Linked DNA regions of Drosophila melanogaster. The protein of the gene in region 3 interacts with the protein of the main gene of each other region in a pairwise test. Each region holds a gene or a part of one and is shown on either strand. Other genes may lie near its edges. The genes, in order: CG5808, qless, CG14490 and CG1142.

Region 1 (4,218 bases), on a different chromosome or scaffold from region 3:
TACACGACAATACGTTTTTCAGGGGGATGCCAATGCTTTGGCGGCGGGACGACTAAAAATCAACGAATCTTTCCTGCAGAATCGTAATGAAAGCAGCGAGGATGAAATTCAAAAGGTTTAACCACTTTTTGTAAATTCTAACTAAGTACATATATGGCAATTTGGCAAATTACAGATGATCAAGCTGGCGCAGGACGTGGATTTGGAGCTGCGAACGAATGTCATCCAAGCCCAGAAAAAAGAGGATGGTGTTTATGGTCAGTGGGGCATGGCGATTACATAAAAGAGCGCTCAAAATTAAAATTTGGCTATATTTACAGAACTAAGGATCACGCCAGAGACAACGCGACTCGACAATGTGGTCTTTAATCCTGACGCAATTATCGAAAAACCGCGCAGGCAACGCGGCGACAAAAACACTGAAGGTTGCTGCGGTGGCGCTGCGATGGCGGCGCTGGAAGCCGAAGTCCAGGCCCGCAACAAATAAAAATATATTCAATATTTAGCTGTAGTCAAGATGGTTTTGTTCTGATTAATTACGTCGTTTATCTTTAATTTCTATTATGTTTCTTCTTCGATTTGTGACTACTCTTTGACTTGGACTTCTTTTGCTTGGATTTTGTACTCTTTTTGCGTTTGCTGCGATCGTCCGACGATGAGGAGCTGCTAGAGCTGTCCTCGGAACTATCTGAAGATGTGGAGTCGCTTTCGGATTCCGAGGAACTTTCACTCGAATCTGAACTGCTGCTAGCTGCTCGTTTCGATTTCTTGGCTTGCTTTTTGCTCTTTTCCACTGAAAGTTTTCTTTTCTTCTCATGACTCTTGTTAGGGCTTGAGTGAGTGTCCATTCTATGGTCTTCCCGGTTCCTGGATTGTTGCCTATAAAAAGATAGATAGATAGTTAAAGATTTTGTATACATCCAGATGCTTAACATTTTTACCTCCGCTCTGGCGATCTTCTTTGATTCCTGGAGGTTTCTCTATGCGATCTCTCATCGTTACGTCTTCCTTCTTGAGGGGAATGGAATCGCCTGCTGTCATTGCGATCTCTGTTTTGAGTCGGTCTTTTTCCAGTTTGATCTCTAGATCTAGAACGCCTTCTCTCATTTTGTTCCCTTGGCCTAGAGCGTCTTCTTTCCTTTTGGTCCCTTGACCTAGAACGTCTTCCTAATTGGTCTCTAGGCCTAGAAGGCCTTCTCTCTTCTCGATCTCTTGACCTAGAGTACCTTCTATGTGTTGCATCCCGAGACCTCGATGACCTTTTTTCATTGCGATTCCTTTCGCGATTTGAGTTCTCTCTGACTGACTCATTTTGCGATTTTTTCGATCTATAAACACTTTTTTCATCTTTTTCCTTCGATCTGGTGCGTCTTTGCAAATTCTTTCGAACATCTCGTTCGCTTTGCTCCTGGTGTCGCTGTTCTCTCGCTTTTCTTCGCTCTGCAGAGCTCATCCTATTTCGAAAATCTTCCGTCCTGTTGCGCTCCTTATGGTCTTCTGTTCTGGACCGGCCATTGTTTGGTTTCCTGTGATCTTTGTCGTCTCGCAAATTGTTAAAATCCAGCTTTCTATAGTCGCCCTCAATACCACGTCCTTTGCCCCGCCAGGTGACCTTTGAAACGGATTGGGAGAAGTCCACGTGGATGCGTCGATCGTCGATAAGCACATTATCCATTTTGAAATATGCGGCCTCACAAGATTTTTGATCCTCGAACTCCACAAAAGCATATTGCAGAGAATCTCCCGTTTTGCGGTCGCGAATCACCTCACATCCTTTAAGCACGCCGAAGCTACTAAAGATTATCTCCAGATCATCGTCGGTTGTAACAGGATTGAGTTTGCACACAAACAAGACATTTTCTGGCGGAGCCATGTCTGCATCGGGTAAATCGCCGACAATCTCAAGGATTGTGGCTCGAGCCTTGGCCTCTCGTTCGGCCAGCATCTCCTGCATCTCCTCCGCGGTCATGCCATCAGTGTCATCGATATCCTCGTCGGCAGCGATGCGCCCGTTCTTCAGACGCTCCGCACTGGGCGAAGGTGAGCGACTTGGAGCCTGAAGGCCGCGCGGATTAGGAAACGGATCCTCAAGCACAACAGTGTGTGTGATGCGTATATCCTGGTAAGGACGGAAGCTGTCGTCAACAATGGCGTCGTTTAGCTTGCGCAGCACCTCGTGACCTTCCACCACTTCACCGATAACGCAGTGGTTGCCGTCCAGCGATGTTAGGTTCTCACCCAGCGTGAGGAAGAACTGGGATCCCACCAGATTCTTGCCTGCACTGACCAGCGATAGCATTCCGGCACTGGAGTGGTTAATCTTGGGCAGGAACTCCGCCTCGAAGAAGCGCTTTTGCGGACCCTCCACCACGCCCCAGATGGAGGATCCGCCGTCTCCAGCTCCACTCGGATCGCCTGTTTGGGCGATGAATCCCTGCTGCACCGTGTGAAATAGATTGAAGTTATAGTACTTCAGCCGGCACAGCTTGAGGAAGTTTAGGCAGGCAATTGGGCGCTCGCTGATGAACAGGTCGACGGTCAGGTCACCCATCGTGGTTTCTATAACCACCGACATTGTGCGAATTCACAGATACCGGCAAAATCAAGGGATAAACAAGAACAATATAGAGGTGGAGAAACATCGATGCCAAATCGATATCATCGATGCTTTCGAAAAATCACAAACATCGATGTTTTTCGAGGAATCATCGATGTTTTTCCATCTCTACTGCGCATCGGAGGAGAGAAGTGTATAAATTGTAGGTATAAATTAATTATCCAAATTTTCTAATACAATTATTAATTTAATGTGACTTATGTCGGTGTTATATGAAACTTGTACAAAATTGGTATTTTACATAAATTTTGAAAAAAAAATATTTTTTTTTATGTACCCTAAACTGAGAAAAAAGTAAAAAAAATACAAACTGAACAAAACTGAAAAAAAATAAAGAAAATACAAATTGATCAAAGAAGTCCATACCTGTAAATGTAAATAGTTATACACGATGCGTAAGTTCATCCGATACTTGACATCGATTGAATATTTTAAAAACAGAACGTAACTTCGTAATCGCCATTTTCGATTGTCATTCGATAATTGTGTGTGTATCAGTGAGACTTGTCAAAGAATTTTCACACGTTTCGAGACTGGAAAAAAGTACAGAAAATTTCATTCCAATCTTAAAAAGCGACAATTAATAGTTAAGCAAGTGACCAGTGATCTAGAACAAGGTAAAATGCCCGAGGCAGGAAAGAAAATAGCAGAGTTGCGCGTGTGCGATCTAAAGAGTGAGCTGGAGAAACGCGAGTTGGAGACAGTCGGCCCCAAGGCGGTGCTCATCGAACGCCTTGAAAAAGTAAGTCCACAAATATGTATGCAACTTAAATGGCGGTTCAGTGCCGCTGGCGATAGAGATAGTGATGCAATTTCCGGGGATTTATGAATGTGTGTAAGCAACGCCTGGTTTTTTCTAATTTCAAGTCACTCAGAGCTGAAGGGCTCGACCCGGCCACCCACTTGATTGTGCCGGGCGCGAAGGCCAAGAAGCCGTTTGCCATGCCCATGAAAGATCTCCAGTCGGAGGTGGTGATCAAGGAAGAGCCCATCGATGCCAATGAGGAGGAGGTGAAGGTGGAACAGCAAGATGATTACCAGAATGGCAACGACTACTCGCATCATGCCGACGACGATGGGCATGAGATTGACCAGGTGGGAGATGTGGACGATGAGTGTGTGATCCTGGATGACGACGATGAAGAGGATGAGGATCATGTGTACGACGATGAGCCCCAGAGCGGTGATGGCGATGCCGAGGGGAAAGCTCAGGACGATGGAGCCGAGAACAATGGCGACGACAAGGCTATTATCCATGGTGAGGAGGAAAACACCGGGGACACCGGAAATATGGACAATGACGAGTCAATCAATTTGACAATTGGGGAGGACGAGCAGAAGCTGCTGCACGATGAGGTGATTTTAACTATTTGGCCTTAAATTGATGTATTCTAATCCAATTTGTTTTGTCCTCAGGCTTCCGACGACAAATCTATTAAGTCTGGTATGTTTGCAGTATCACTCAAAACCATAGAAAATTTATAATTCATGACTAGAAATATCATGGCGTTTGTATTCATGCAATCGATTAAGAAATACGAAATACAAGAAATAAAGCTAATATGTTAATAAAAGTTATCCTGATTCACAGTCAAACCGGC
Region 2 (4,646 bases), on a different chromosome or scaffold from region 3:
TTTCCAGGTGCTTGTGTTTTGCCGTCTACCCGTGTGTATGGATGCGAGTTGGGCACACATTCAATTTGGCGTTGAATGAATTTTTATTCGGCTCCGAAGTGAAACAAAAAAGGGTCTTAAACAACTAAAATGCATAAATAATTCGATGACAACGACTGCATACAAAATTATCAAACTTTTTCCAATATGATTGGGAACATTTATTTATATGTGAGTACTCCATATATTATTGAAGTACTGCTACTTGCTTTTAACTATACTTGTATCGTAAAGATATCAAATTGGCCCAATAACACATTTGGCTTCTCGCATTTTCGGGAGGCAAATGCAAACCCCCAACCTTTCGGAGCAAGGTCTTTTTTACGGATGTCAAAGGTGTGCATTAAAGTGAATTAACGAGCACTTAACCTGTTTTATATACATATGTATACCCAAAAAGCGACCAAAGTGCGGCCATATAGATACAAATAAATATGATCAAGCCAAGGCTGGCCGCCAAAATAGCCAATGCACAAACTGCATTCAACTTGCTGCATTCGCAATGCTAAAGCAATTAAATCAAAGTCGTACTCCCGAATGCCACCCCCCCCCCAGTTAAATGGGTTGGCTTAAATGGCGTGCCATAAAACAATAAACTAAATAGCAAATGTGAGAAGCCGATGCACTAATCGCGGCCTATGCATACATGCCTACTCAAGGTGTACATAAGTGAGTAAGTAAGCAATTAAGCCGAAGGCTTGACTAGCCAATTGAATTTCAAGACAATTGCCCGAAGTTCCTTCTGGGTTTTTCCGACTCACAACAAAGGCTGGAGATGTTCCCCAAGAAATATGACCTAGGAAGGCAAATAGCTCCATAACTCTATAATGAGCTCGGTTATTTACGACCCTTTTGTTGCACTCAGTGCGTCATTCGTGGGATTTAAAAAATTACATGCATTTCAATCGTTTTATTTGTTACAGTAAACTCGCTTTATAGTGCCGTAACAATAAAATATTATGGGAGAAAATTAATATTTATATTTGACACCTGAGGCAATGTCAAGATGTTATTATGAGTTATTAGTAGAAATATGTAGTTCTCATGAAAAATACCTTCCTTATTCCTTTAAGTGTATTCACCGTATTTGCAATAGTTAATCTATCTAGTGAAATAGCAAATAGCTGATAGTGTTTACCCCGACTGATAAGGGTACAAAATCCGCATGTTCGACACAATACAGAACAGAACACAATTGAGATATTACGTATACGCGCAGTTCCCAGTCAAGTGGAGCACAGTTTTGGGGGCACTGGCCCCCAATCAGCTGTTTATTGGCGCCACAAATAGCGCGAAAATCAACAACGCGGGCGATAAATATTGATAAATACGAGCAATAAACCAGAGCTCAAATGCAACCAGCGAAATTGCATAACTCAAAGAAAAAATGAAAAAGGAAGAAAAACACTGCAGGCTAGCGACTTGTCAACGATATAAAAATAATGACAAACTACAGACAGACCAGAAAGAGACATAATTATCGGGCCAGAAAGAGAGGCAGATGAAAAACTTCACCTTGCAAAAATGCGGGGAAAAACACATGGAAACGTTGCGGAGAAAAACAGAGGCGTTCGGCAAATGGTAAAAAAGCCAAGGCACAATAATAAATAAATGCGCCAGCTTCCGCCAACAACAACACTGCAACTGTGGGCGCAACAAGTTGTTTTTCACGCTACTTGCACAAAAGCAATGGCCAACAACCAACAACCAACAAGCAACGGACAACTGCCAGCAACCAATTTCACTTTCATTTTCTTTTTGGCTTTGCAGCGAAGAAAAGAAAAGCGGACAGCAAAAGCCAAAGTCACGCAGACGCATTAGCGGCCAAAAGAGTTGGCTTGCAGCCAATGCACTCTGCACGGCAAAAAAAAAAAACTAATACATTTTCAATCCAATTTTATAAGGATTTATTTCACATTTGCAAATTTTAAAAGGAATCACTTAAATTGTACTGCTTATAAAAAGTATCTTTTCCTTTTCAAGTTTACCAGAAATGAAATCCTCATATTTTCCATATTTTTCTAACTTCAACTATTTTTACCATTTAACACAACACTTTTCTCGCTGTGTAGGCTTCGCCCGACAGTGAACTTACCAGCAGATCGGGGTAATCCTTGCCCATGCTGAAGCTTAATCCGTGGTAGAGTCGCATGGCCTGCTGTTGAACTTTGGGCGGACTGAATAATCCGGTTGCGGCGGACGGGGCTGTATATCCTGGCCGGGATCCGAAGAGCTGATAGAGCAGCTTGTGCGCCTGCTGGCGACGCGAGCCGCACACGACGCGACCGGAAGTGCTCAAGCAGGCCATTTTGTGGGTTTTGTTTGTGAGGATTTGTAAGTAGCAGGGCTTATGCGATGGTTTTTTTTTTTGTGGGAAGGGTAGGATGCAGCTTCTTGATCGAGACACAGGCACAGAATTCAACAGGTGAACAGCATTATAGTGGGTTTTGTTTATGTTTTTTGCAGGCTCGCAGGATTTGAAAAACGCGCGATTGTGTGGCGAGTTCGGGGTATCGATGGACTAACGATTTCGAGGCGACGGCGAAGCGCGGTTTGCTTGCGTTTGGCTTCAGCAGCTCCAGCGAAGTGTTTTCGCTTTTTGTGGATTTTTGAATCGATGCGCGTGCGCGCGGTCAGGTGTGGTGGGAATCCCACTGGCCGACTGTGGTGGAAACGATCGCTCACGAAGGTAAGATCGGCTTGAACTTGAACGGGGATTTCGGTGGCTAAGGCAGCCACGCGGTTTTACAGTCACTGGGGGTCGAGGTCTGTTTGGATGACCCCAGGCTACCTATGGGTCACACTATTGGAGGGATATATCTGGACTCAAGCGTTGCTCACAGAGGTCCTATGGCCACTACCGCCACTACCAATTAGTCCCGCCAGTGTCCTCATGTTCCGCAACAACTGGGACGCTCAAAGATCCCGATGAAAACGCGTTTTTCCGCCTGGCAAATAGTTTTTATTTAACTCGCACGCAATTTGCACCTTTTCACTACTTTATTTTGACGTAACAGTGCAGAACAGCTGCTGCGAACAGCTGTTTAGGGTTGCAACGTGCGCGGTGACGCAAGGCAGCCGGCTAAAACGTAGCACTAGAAGTGTGCAACGTAAGGCGACAAAGTCTGCAACCTTAAAACGGTAGTTATTTACGGATGCTGACATTATTTTAAAAGTAGTTACACCATTTTTATTGCTCTTTTTTGAATTAACATTTTTACATCTATTTTGTGCCTTACTTACGTTTTTCTATAAACATATCGATAGCACAGCTGTTTCCTCTTGCGCATCTCTAATCACGTTTACGTAAATTTCAGAAGAGCAGCAACAAGATGTCTAGAAATTTGTTTTTATCAATTACAAACTTTATTAGGAACTTAGAGAGCTTGTTCCTGCCACATGGAGGACACCCTCCTGGTGAGAAGCACCAGCCCAAGATAAAGTTACCCTGACTTACCCACTTTTTACACAGCTTTAGCGTTGGCCGGTTTTCAGCATGATCACAGCCCTAAATCCTCCCAGGAATTCAGTTTGAAGCAGCTTATTGGCGACGGATTGCTGTGGGCTGTTCCGAAGCACAGAAGATCCGTGGAGAAACGCCTGAAGCGGAAGTTCGGATATCCGGAATACAACTGGAAGCCTTTGAGGGAGAAGAGAAACCTCCGCTCCTGTCTGCAATGTGGCCATGACCACGAGATGGGAGTTCTTTGTCGTAAGTAGCCTTAAAAGTATACAAAGAGGTAGCCACCTTTAATGTTGCTCTTCCAGCCTTCTGCTACCAAAAGGTCCTGAAGGAGACTGAGCTCATGCAGTCGAAAATCCAGGAGACACTCGGTCTAGATCCCGTGGACAAGGAAGTAATCGTTCTTTATGAAGGCGAGAAGGCCGAACAGTCCACAGATGATCTGAAAAACAAGCGCATCGTGGAGATGAAGAAGCCTCGTCCCATGTGGTTCACCAAGAATCTGCTCCAAAAATCCACGCAGCAGCTGTCCGAAACCAAGGAAGTCAAGCCCTCCGACTTGGCCTAGATACTAAGCATCCATTGTGCATTAAATCCACACGTTCGTTATCAAATCGATGCTATTTTATTCTCTGTGAAGGATAAGGACCTTGCTTGCTTCAGGAATCCGTTGTTAAAGTCCTGGGCACTCATAGGTTTTCTACCTTCCACGCGTAACTGAAGCACTTCCAACTGACTCTGCTGAGCACATCCGATTATGAGGGATCTCGACTTCCTTAGGTAGCTGATGGCACCAGGTTCTTGGACGGGAACTCTCTTCTCCGGTAATCGCAACTCCAGCAACTGCACTTGCTTGCCCAAAAAGTTGGTTGTAAGGTTTTTGTAGCCATACAAAGCTCGATGACGAGTGTATATTTCAATGGCACTCAGCTCGGACCAGATAATTTCTGTGATTTTACTGGTAATCTTGGGAGCTGAAGGCAAAAATATAGTTTATATAGGTTCTCGAAGTGCTTAGATATGCTTTACCATAGCTGACCCTTGAACTATCTTGGGGTTTGGCTTCCTTAAGTCTTACTGATAGGTTGTTAATAGTATCCACAAGTAACTCGGCTCCTAGCGACGCCAAAGATGCATGCAGATC
Region 3 (3,080 bases):
AGGGAGGCGCGGCATTAGGGGCGGATCAGATAAATTAGGTCCATTCAGATCACATAATATAAGAGAAAAGTTGCTTATTTGCCAATTTTGCAATGTTCTCGCGAGAAATGGCTAATAATAATAAGAGGCGATGCCGGGGAATCGTTTCGATTTCTAACCAAAATTAAATAAAAATCATTAATGACTTTCTTCACTTTTGCAATTTTCACATAGGTGGCGATGGTGGAGGTGCAACTGGATCACGATACGAATGTACCACCGGGCATGCTGATAGCCTTCGCCATCTGCACCACCCTCCTGGTGGCGGTGCACATGCTGGCCCTGATGATCAGCACCTGTATCCTGCCAAATATTGAGACGGTGTGTAATTTGCATAGTATTTCCCTGGTCCACGAATCGCCACACGAGCGTCTCCATTGGTACATTGAAACGGCGTGGGCATTCTCCACGCTGCTGGGACTCATACTCTTTCTACTGGAGATAGCCATCCTGTGCTGGGTGAAATTCTATGACCTAAGTCCGCCGGCGGCTTGGTCAGCGTGTGTGGTCCTCATACCGGTGATGATCATCTTTATGGCCTTCGCCATTCACTTCTATCGCTCCCTGGTGTCGCACAAATATGAGGTGACAGTCTCGGGCATCCGTGAGCTGGAGATGCTCAAGGAGCAGATGGAGCAGGATCATTTGGAGCATCACAATAACATACGAAATAATGGCATGAACTATGGCGCATCCGGGGACATTGTCTAGCATCACTTGGCGTATCCGCACAAGTGGATCGAACGAAAAAGACAGCGGCTCAGGGTAAGCTTCAGATTATTTTTAGTGAAACACACATATTGTAAATTTGTAGTTGATTAAAATTGTGATACGCGGAATTCAGTAGATTTCTACTATATATATATATATATGTGCGAGTGCTGCTGTAGTCCTTTATTTTACTTATGGCAATTGCGGATTAGCACGGATATTGACAATGATAAAAGACCCCAATTAAAGCAATACTTCGGATGAATATTCCTCAAAAAATTAGCTGATATTTGTTACATATTTATATTGCGTGTATTTTAAATTGTATGCCATGCCGGATTTTCTTTTTTTGCAACCATCCTTAGGCAGTCTTCCCTTTTTACGTTTAAGACACAACTTGATTGTCAAATTTAATATTAAGCCAATTGTGTAAGCGAAACCGCGCTGTAATTTATACCATATAATTTATGATTAAAAGAATTTTCTATATATATGGTGTTGGAGTTTTATTTTTAATCGTGATATATAGCTGAACAATAGATGCGGATTAAAAGAATGCAAAATTTTAGAGACAATTTGATATATTTTATATGCAACATAAAACAATTGTAAAATAAAGTATTTGAAAATGTACTGCAATATTTATATACGAATTATATTCATAGGTATTCCAATAGTTTTGGAAAATATAACAGTCTATTTTCGATCTTTACCGATGTAAGCTAAATAGCGCTGTAATTTATATACGACTGATTAAACGATTTTTACTACATACACTTAACCGGAACAAACGATTTTCTATTGAGCCAATGTCTTTGGCCTCCTTAAGTTAGCGTGTCGCTGCTGGAGGAAGCCAAATGGTGGCAAGACATGCTGCTGCTGGCTGGGGGGGTTCGATTAGACAAGTGACACCACCGCACGCACACCGCCGCCTAAAGTCGGACGACACCACATGGCACCGCCGCAATTGGACGGACTTGCTCCCGCGCTCAGTCATCGAAGACATGTCGTCGCGTACGAGCGGATATAGTAGTGGAGTTCGCTCTCAACGTTATCCTGGTGGGCAGTACCAGGGCAAATGGTTGGGCCAGCAGCCTCACGGGTTTGGGGTAAAGCAAACGAGCAGTGGACTTGTCTACGAGGGTCACTGGCAGAAGGGTCAACGGCATGGCATCGGAAGTTTGCGTCGCAAGGAGCTCGATGGCCGCATGGAACGCATCTACGTGGGTCAGTGGCGGGAGAACAAGCGGAGTGGCGAGGGCAAGCAGTTCTATCCGGACGGATCCGTCTACTTTGGTCAGTGGCTAGCGGACCAGCGAAGTGGAGAGGGCATCCTATGGCAGGCGGATGGCGGCATCTATGTGGGCGAGTGGCTTCGGGACAAGATGCACGAAAAGGGTTTACTTTTCACGGGTGAGTGTGATAAAGAAATAAGATATGTTCCTTTGGATGTATTTGTTTCATTTTATTTATTTTTTCGCAACTTTAAAAATGCATAAAGATTATAGATAATAAGTTAATATGTTATCCATAGCAACGGGAAATCGCTACGTGGGTCAATTTGAAGGAGGCTGCAAATCGGGCTCAGGTGTATTTTACCATGCCAGCAATGGACAGCGGATTCAGCACGGTTTTTGGAGCAAGGACATCTGTAGAACGTCACTACTGTCCCTGCCACAAGATAAAAACAATGAATTTATGTCAAAAGCTCTTTTGTAACACTTACACACAATATATATATATATTTAAATACCAAGACATTTTCGATAAGAATAAATACGAACTAAGGAGACTACTATCTAATCAGTGCCGATGCCGTGTGCGTGTGCTAATGGACTCCGTTTCGGGAGCCTGTGCTTCCAAAACCTGGCGCCTCGTTCGCTTGGATGAAAGAGTCGCTGTCTTTGGTGTCTCTACTGGTTGGCGCAGCCTGGCTCTGGTGCTCCGTGTACTTGTAGTTATTGTCGGCGTTTCTACTATTTCCAAGCTATTATCCAATGTTAGGACTTTACAAGCTTTGGATGTGGCCTTGGGTTTTGCCTTCTCCCTACTTTTTGGTTGTGTCTTCTTTGTGGACACCAAAGGTGAATCGTCATCGTCGCTTATCTCGATCGCTTGGCAGGCATTTAGATCCACGTGATCCGAAGGCGGTGTATTCTCTGTTCCGCTGCCACCGCTGCTACTGCAACTGGTAGCACTTGGTGGTCGTAGTTCCAGCTCCTCGTAAATTCTGAATCGAGGTGCCTTTTTGGCCGACTGTTTAACTTTAGACGCCGTATTCTTGACTGCTGAAACCGATCCTATTGCGGTTCGTTTCTTATCTTCGGGTG
Region 4 (3,811 bases), on a different chromosome or scaffold from region 3:
CCTTAATTCACCACTTTTCAACATTTACTTCTTGACCAGCTTTATATGAAATTTATCGATCTGTTCTTCTACTTTGAAATCATAAATTTAAGTTAAACGAAATTAAAACACAGTCATTAAAAAATATATATAAAAATTGTTATAAAAAATCTTTCTGTTCCCGCCCGGGTTCGAACCGGGGACCTTGTGCGTGTGAAGCACACGTGATAACCGCTACACTACGGAAACTAGATGGAAGACATGATTCAAAGATTGGTTATAAAATTAAAAAGAAACTTTCCTCGTTCACTTATAACAATTTAGAATAAAGTTATCAATTTAGTTTGTCAAAAATATTGTTAATACACACAATATAAAGAATCTTACTGAGGAATATGATTTTTAAATATTTGGCCAAAGGAAGAGAACATAAAATAAACTCCTCTATTTCGCAGAAAGGTACTAACCATACGGATCTTGCGATACTCCACGATCTCTGGAGTGACTACTTTCTGACTTGACTATTTACCCCATCATTATTTAAGTTCAAATAAAATATAGAGACGAGTAAGTTAGGTTTTAAAATATTTTATATTTATTTATTTTTCTTAAGTTTTTTCATTTTCTTCAAGTTTTTCCGATAGGCGTATTTGTCTGTGCGCTTAATAACCTCGTTGAACTTCCTCTTGTTGAACTTCTGGAAGCTCTCGTCTTCTAACAACTCATTTACCAGCGACTGCTTCTTCTTGGACTTCTTTTCTTGGTAGTGATCCAAATGCGAAGGTAGCACAGTACCGATTTGGAAAAATTTGGGCAGACTCTTAAGGTCGTTCTTCTTGTAGAATTGCTTAGGGTTCAGAACCGATCGCATCTGAACTATTTTCAGTTCGTTTCGCATCTCGTCGGTGATCTCTGTGGCGGGCAGATTAAACCATCCCTTGCCCTTGGTCTTTGAGCGTTCAGCCTGAAAAAAGGAAGGCGATTAAAAATAAAAGCAAGGTAGGGTCTGAAATTTCCAATATGTTGCGCTCAGATTACTAAAGACGTCGTCACCATGACAAACAGCTTAGACCTAACTGGCTCCTGGGTCGACAAAAGCGCGTGTTTCATTTCCATTTGGGTGTTCTGTAAACCAGAGACTAAACTATCTGTCTAGGACTCAATGACAGATAATAGTCTTGATCCCTGGCTGTTGGTGTCCCGCTGGCCTTACGGCCACTGCAAATTCTGGAGTGCAGCAGCAAAGATTACAACGGATGAAACTAGATTTGCTAGAGTCTGAGCCTTAGGTCTTGTCGCCAATGCGCAAACTCCGATGTCGAATATTTCATCATGGGCAAAAGGGCTGTTTGTACGAACAAATCGCTTCACACTCACTCTGTTGATGATGGGTTGCTGCCTCTTTCCCACGGTGGGCAGTGCATGCGCCTGTTCTAGTCCTGGATTCAAGGCCTGTTTCGTCCTCTTCATATTACTTTCCAGGTTTTCCTGCCGCAGGTCCAGATGCGGAGCATCGTGGTTCAGTTCTGTTACCCGCTTCCGGGGCACTACTTTCGGTTTGCTGGAGTTCTCCACTGCACTCTCGACCTTTTCGCAGAGGTCCTCCAGCTGCTTGGCAACCTTGGATACCGGCTTCTTTCGGTCAGGCAGGGAATTCACGACATCGAGCACTTCCTTGGAGTTCAACTTTAGGCCAAAGAGCTCCACTGCGCCCTCATTTTGTTCCTCGTCCTCCTCGCTGTGCGCGTCACTTTCTGTCAGGAGCAGCTCTTTGTTGTACACAATCTTCTTTTGCTGCTGCTCGCCATTGAATTCCTGGCGTCCTGTTGTGTCTACCAGAAAAATAGAATCCATTTTGTGCGGCAACCACGCTTGTTTATAACATACAAACAGTGTGACCGTGTAGTAGTAGCACACACACTCACAGGTCGACTGTCAAAAATATACTAAATGCACTGCATGTAATTTGGAAAATACTAGCTCTTGGCAAGGGCATTCCTGAACATTTATTACTTAAATTACTTTTAGTTTAAAAAAATTTGTGTTCTAATTTAATTTTTCTGACAAGTACATTTGATCTAAAGGTTTAAATTCAAAAATTCACAACCGACTTACAACCTAATGGAATACCCCCAATTTTTATTTTTTCTTTGTTAAGGTATAACAATTAGTTGCTTAAGCAATTTTGAACGTACAATTAAGTAAACCTCCACATAAAACATCAGTTCCGAGTGCGAGGACCGATAACTTCGTGCTTGGTGGACCTAATAGCTGAATACTGCCTAAATGTGCCAATGCTTCTAAATTGCTTGGTAATAGTCGTCATATTGCAATGCTCATGGAAAAGAGATTATTGAGTATAAGTAGAAATACATATTTAGTTTTTGGAAGGAAACTTTATTCATGAAATCGATATGCATTAAAAATCTCAAAACTTAAAAACTAGTAGAAATACTCTTCGAAATCCGTAATGCTACACATGCCCGTATATTAGTATCAAGATACCGTTTGCCTGTTACGAGCAAAAATGCATTTGGGGTTCTATTTTTGAGAGTTCTAGTTTCACTGTAAAAAAAGAAATTGTTACTTTCAAATAATAAGTTGTATAAATATGCATTTTAATAACAAAATAAATAATAAATAAATATTGGAACGTAGTTCGCTGCAGCAAAAGAATGGGCAAATTGCTCGGCAATGCCGCGTACATGGAAGTGTTCTGAACAGCAAATTTGTTACGAAAATCCGAAGCTAAGCTACTAAGTTACTTAACCAACAAATTTTGAAAGTGGCTGACTCGGGCAACTGTCGCCGGCTTCAGCACCGGACCGCCGCCCGTCCCCGCCCAATACGGCTTCCGGTCGAGACCAGAATCCGCGGGGTGGTGGGGGCGACGGATCGGGGGTGCATGACCGTGCGTCGACCGCCGGATAACCCGTCGTCATCCAGTGGAAGGCAGCGGAAAGCCGATCCGAACGAGGAGCCACGGCAACGCCAGGCAGAATTACTGGGAAACACAAAGGTGTGACGGAGGGTCGGCTCTGAACAGATCTGATAAGCAGATGCAGTTACCTGAATATCGATCAATGTACAGAACAATCACAGAATACACTTCCGAAGTAACGGGAAGCAGATATCGTATTTATACGAGTATTTGACCAAATAAGCACTTGGGAATTACAAGCTGGCAGTCGGGCAAACGTGCTGTATGGCAAACCAAATCGGGGTGGGTTTTGCCATTGCTTATGCATACCCGTGTATGAACGTTGCTTTAAAAGCCTGTGAAATCAAAAGTATAGTTTCTATGTAAGAAATTTAAATTGTTTCATAATGACTGAGAAATGCAGAATGGTAAAAAAATAACAATAGGAAGTATATATTCCTGAATTGCCCTCGGCTGGGCTCGAGCAAACGAAAGATTCTTCAAAGTGGAATGACAGCATGAGTTTGCTGATACATATTTTTATATGTGTGCCATACAGCGGTAGGTAAACAAACAAGAAAATCAAATGCATTTATAGATTTGTACCCTTTGTAATATGTGTTCAGAAAAAGATGTAATTTTTAAATTAGTTAAAATAATATGAATAGAATTTTTTTTTTAAATTATTATTTATTAAGTGAAGAATCCGTACATCGAACACTATAAAAATAAAATAAGTGAAGTAGGAACATAAATGATTTGGGGAATTGCGACCAAATCGAATTATAAACGTATCCAGGTGATGCAAAATCGCGCATGTACGTAACTCTACACTCCATAAAGACCTCAATATTCACACAGTTGAGACACAAATTGGGAGAAATACAAGTCGATATAGTGACAGCAAAGACC

Evidence for each region.
Region 1: the proteins of CG14490 (region 3) and CG5808 interact in a two-hybrid assay, tested with the Drosophila melanogaster proteins (one large-scale study listed by BioGRID).
Region 2: the proteins of CG14490 (region 3) and qless interact in a two-hybrid assay, tested with the Drosophila melanogaster proteins (one large-scale study listed by BioGRID).
Region 4: the proteins of CG14490 (region 3) and CG1142 interact in a two-hybrid assay, tested with the Drosophila melanogaster proteins (one large-scale study listed by BioGRID).

The regions. Positions count from the first base shown.
Region 1 is NT_033777.3:24,814,378-24,818,595, forward strand, and holds CG5808 (uncharacterized protein), read right to left. Parts: upstream 2,631-4,218; 5' UTR 2,576-2,630; coding exon 942-2,575; intron 880-941; coding exon 552-879; 3' UTR 526-551; downstream 1-525. Other genes in the region: CG34150 (uncharacterized protein), read left to right, coding at 1-115, 176-257, 321-487; Saf-B (scaffold attachment factor B), read left to right, coding at 3,240-3,359, 3,485-3,973, 4,034-4,061, 4,209-4,218.
Region 2 is NT_033777.3:31,249,548-31,254,193, forward strand, and holds the start of qless (qless), read right to left. Parts: upstream 3,062-4,646; 5' UTR 2,348-3,061; coding exon 2,135-2,347; intron 1-2,134. Other genes in the region: mRpL32 (mitochondrial ribosomal protein L32), read left to right, coding at 3,372-3,456, 3,512-3,751, 3,808-4,070; CG1750 (uncharacterized protein), read right to left, coding at 4,112-4,476, 4,532-4,646.
Region 3 is NT_033778.4:17,859,045-17,862,124, forward strand, and holds CG14490 (uncharacterized protein), read left to right. Parts: upstream 1-1,715; 5' UTR 1,716-1,754; coding exon 1,755-2,163; intron 2,164-2,228; exon of another isoform or gene 2,229-2,284; coding exon 2,285-2,469; 3' UTR 2,470-2,547; downstream 2,548-3,080. Other genes in the region: orai, read left to right, coding at 214-750; thr (three rows), read right to left, coding at 2,554-3,080.
Region 4 is NT_033777.3:7,471,905-7,475,715, forward strand, and holds CG1142 (uncharacterized protein), read right to left. Parts: upstream 1,878-3,811; 5' UTR 1,834-1,877; coding exon 1,357-1,833; intron 1,319-1,356; exon of another isoform or gene 1,003-1,318; intron 944-1,002; coding exon 575-943; 3' UTR 554-574; downstream 1-553.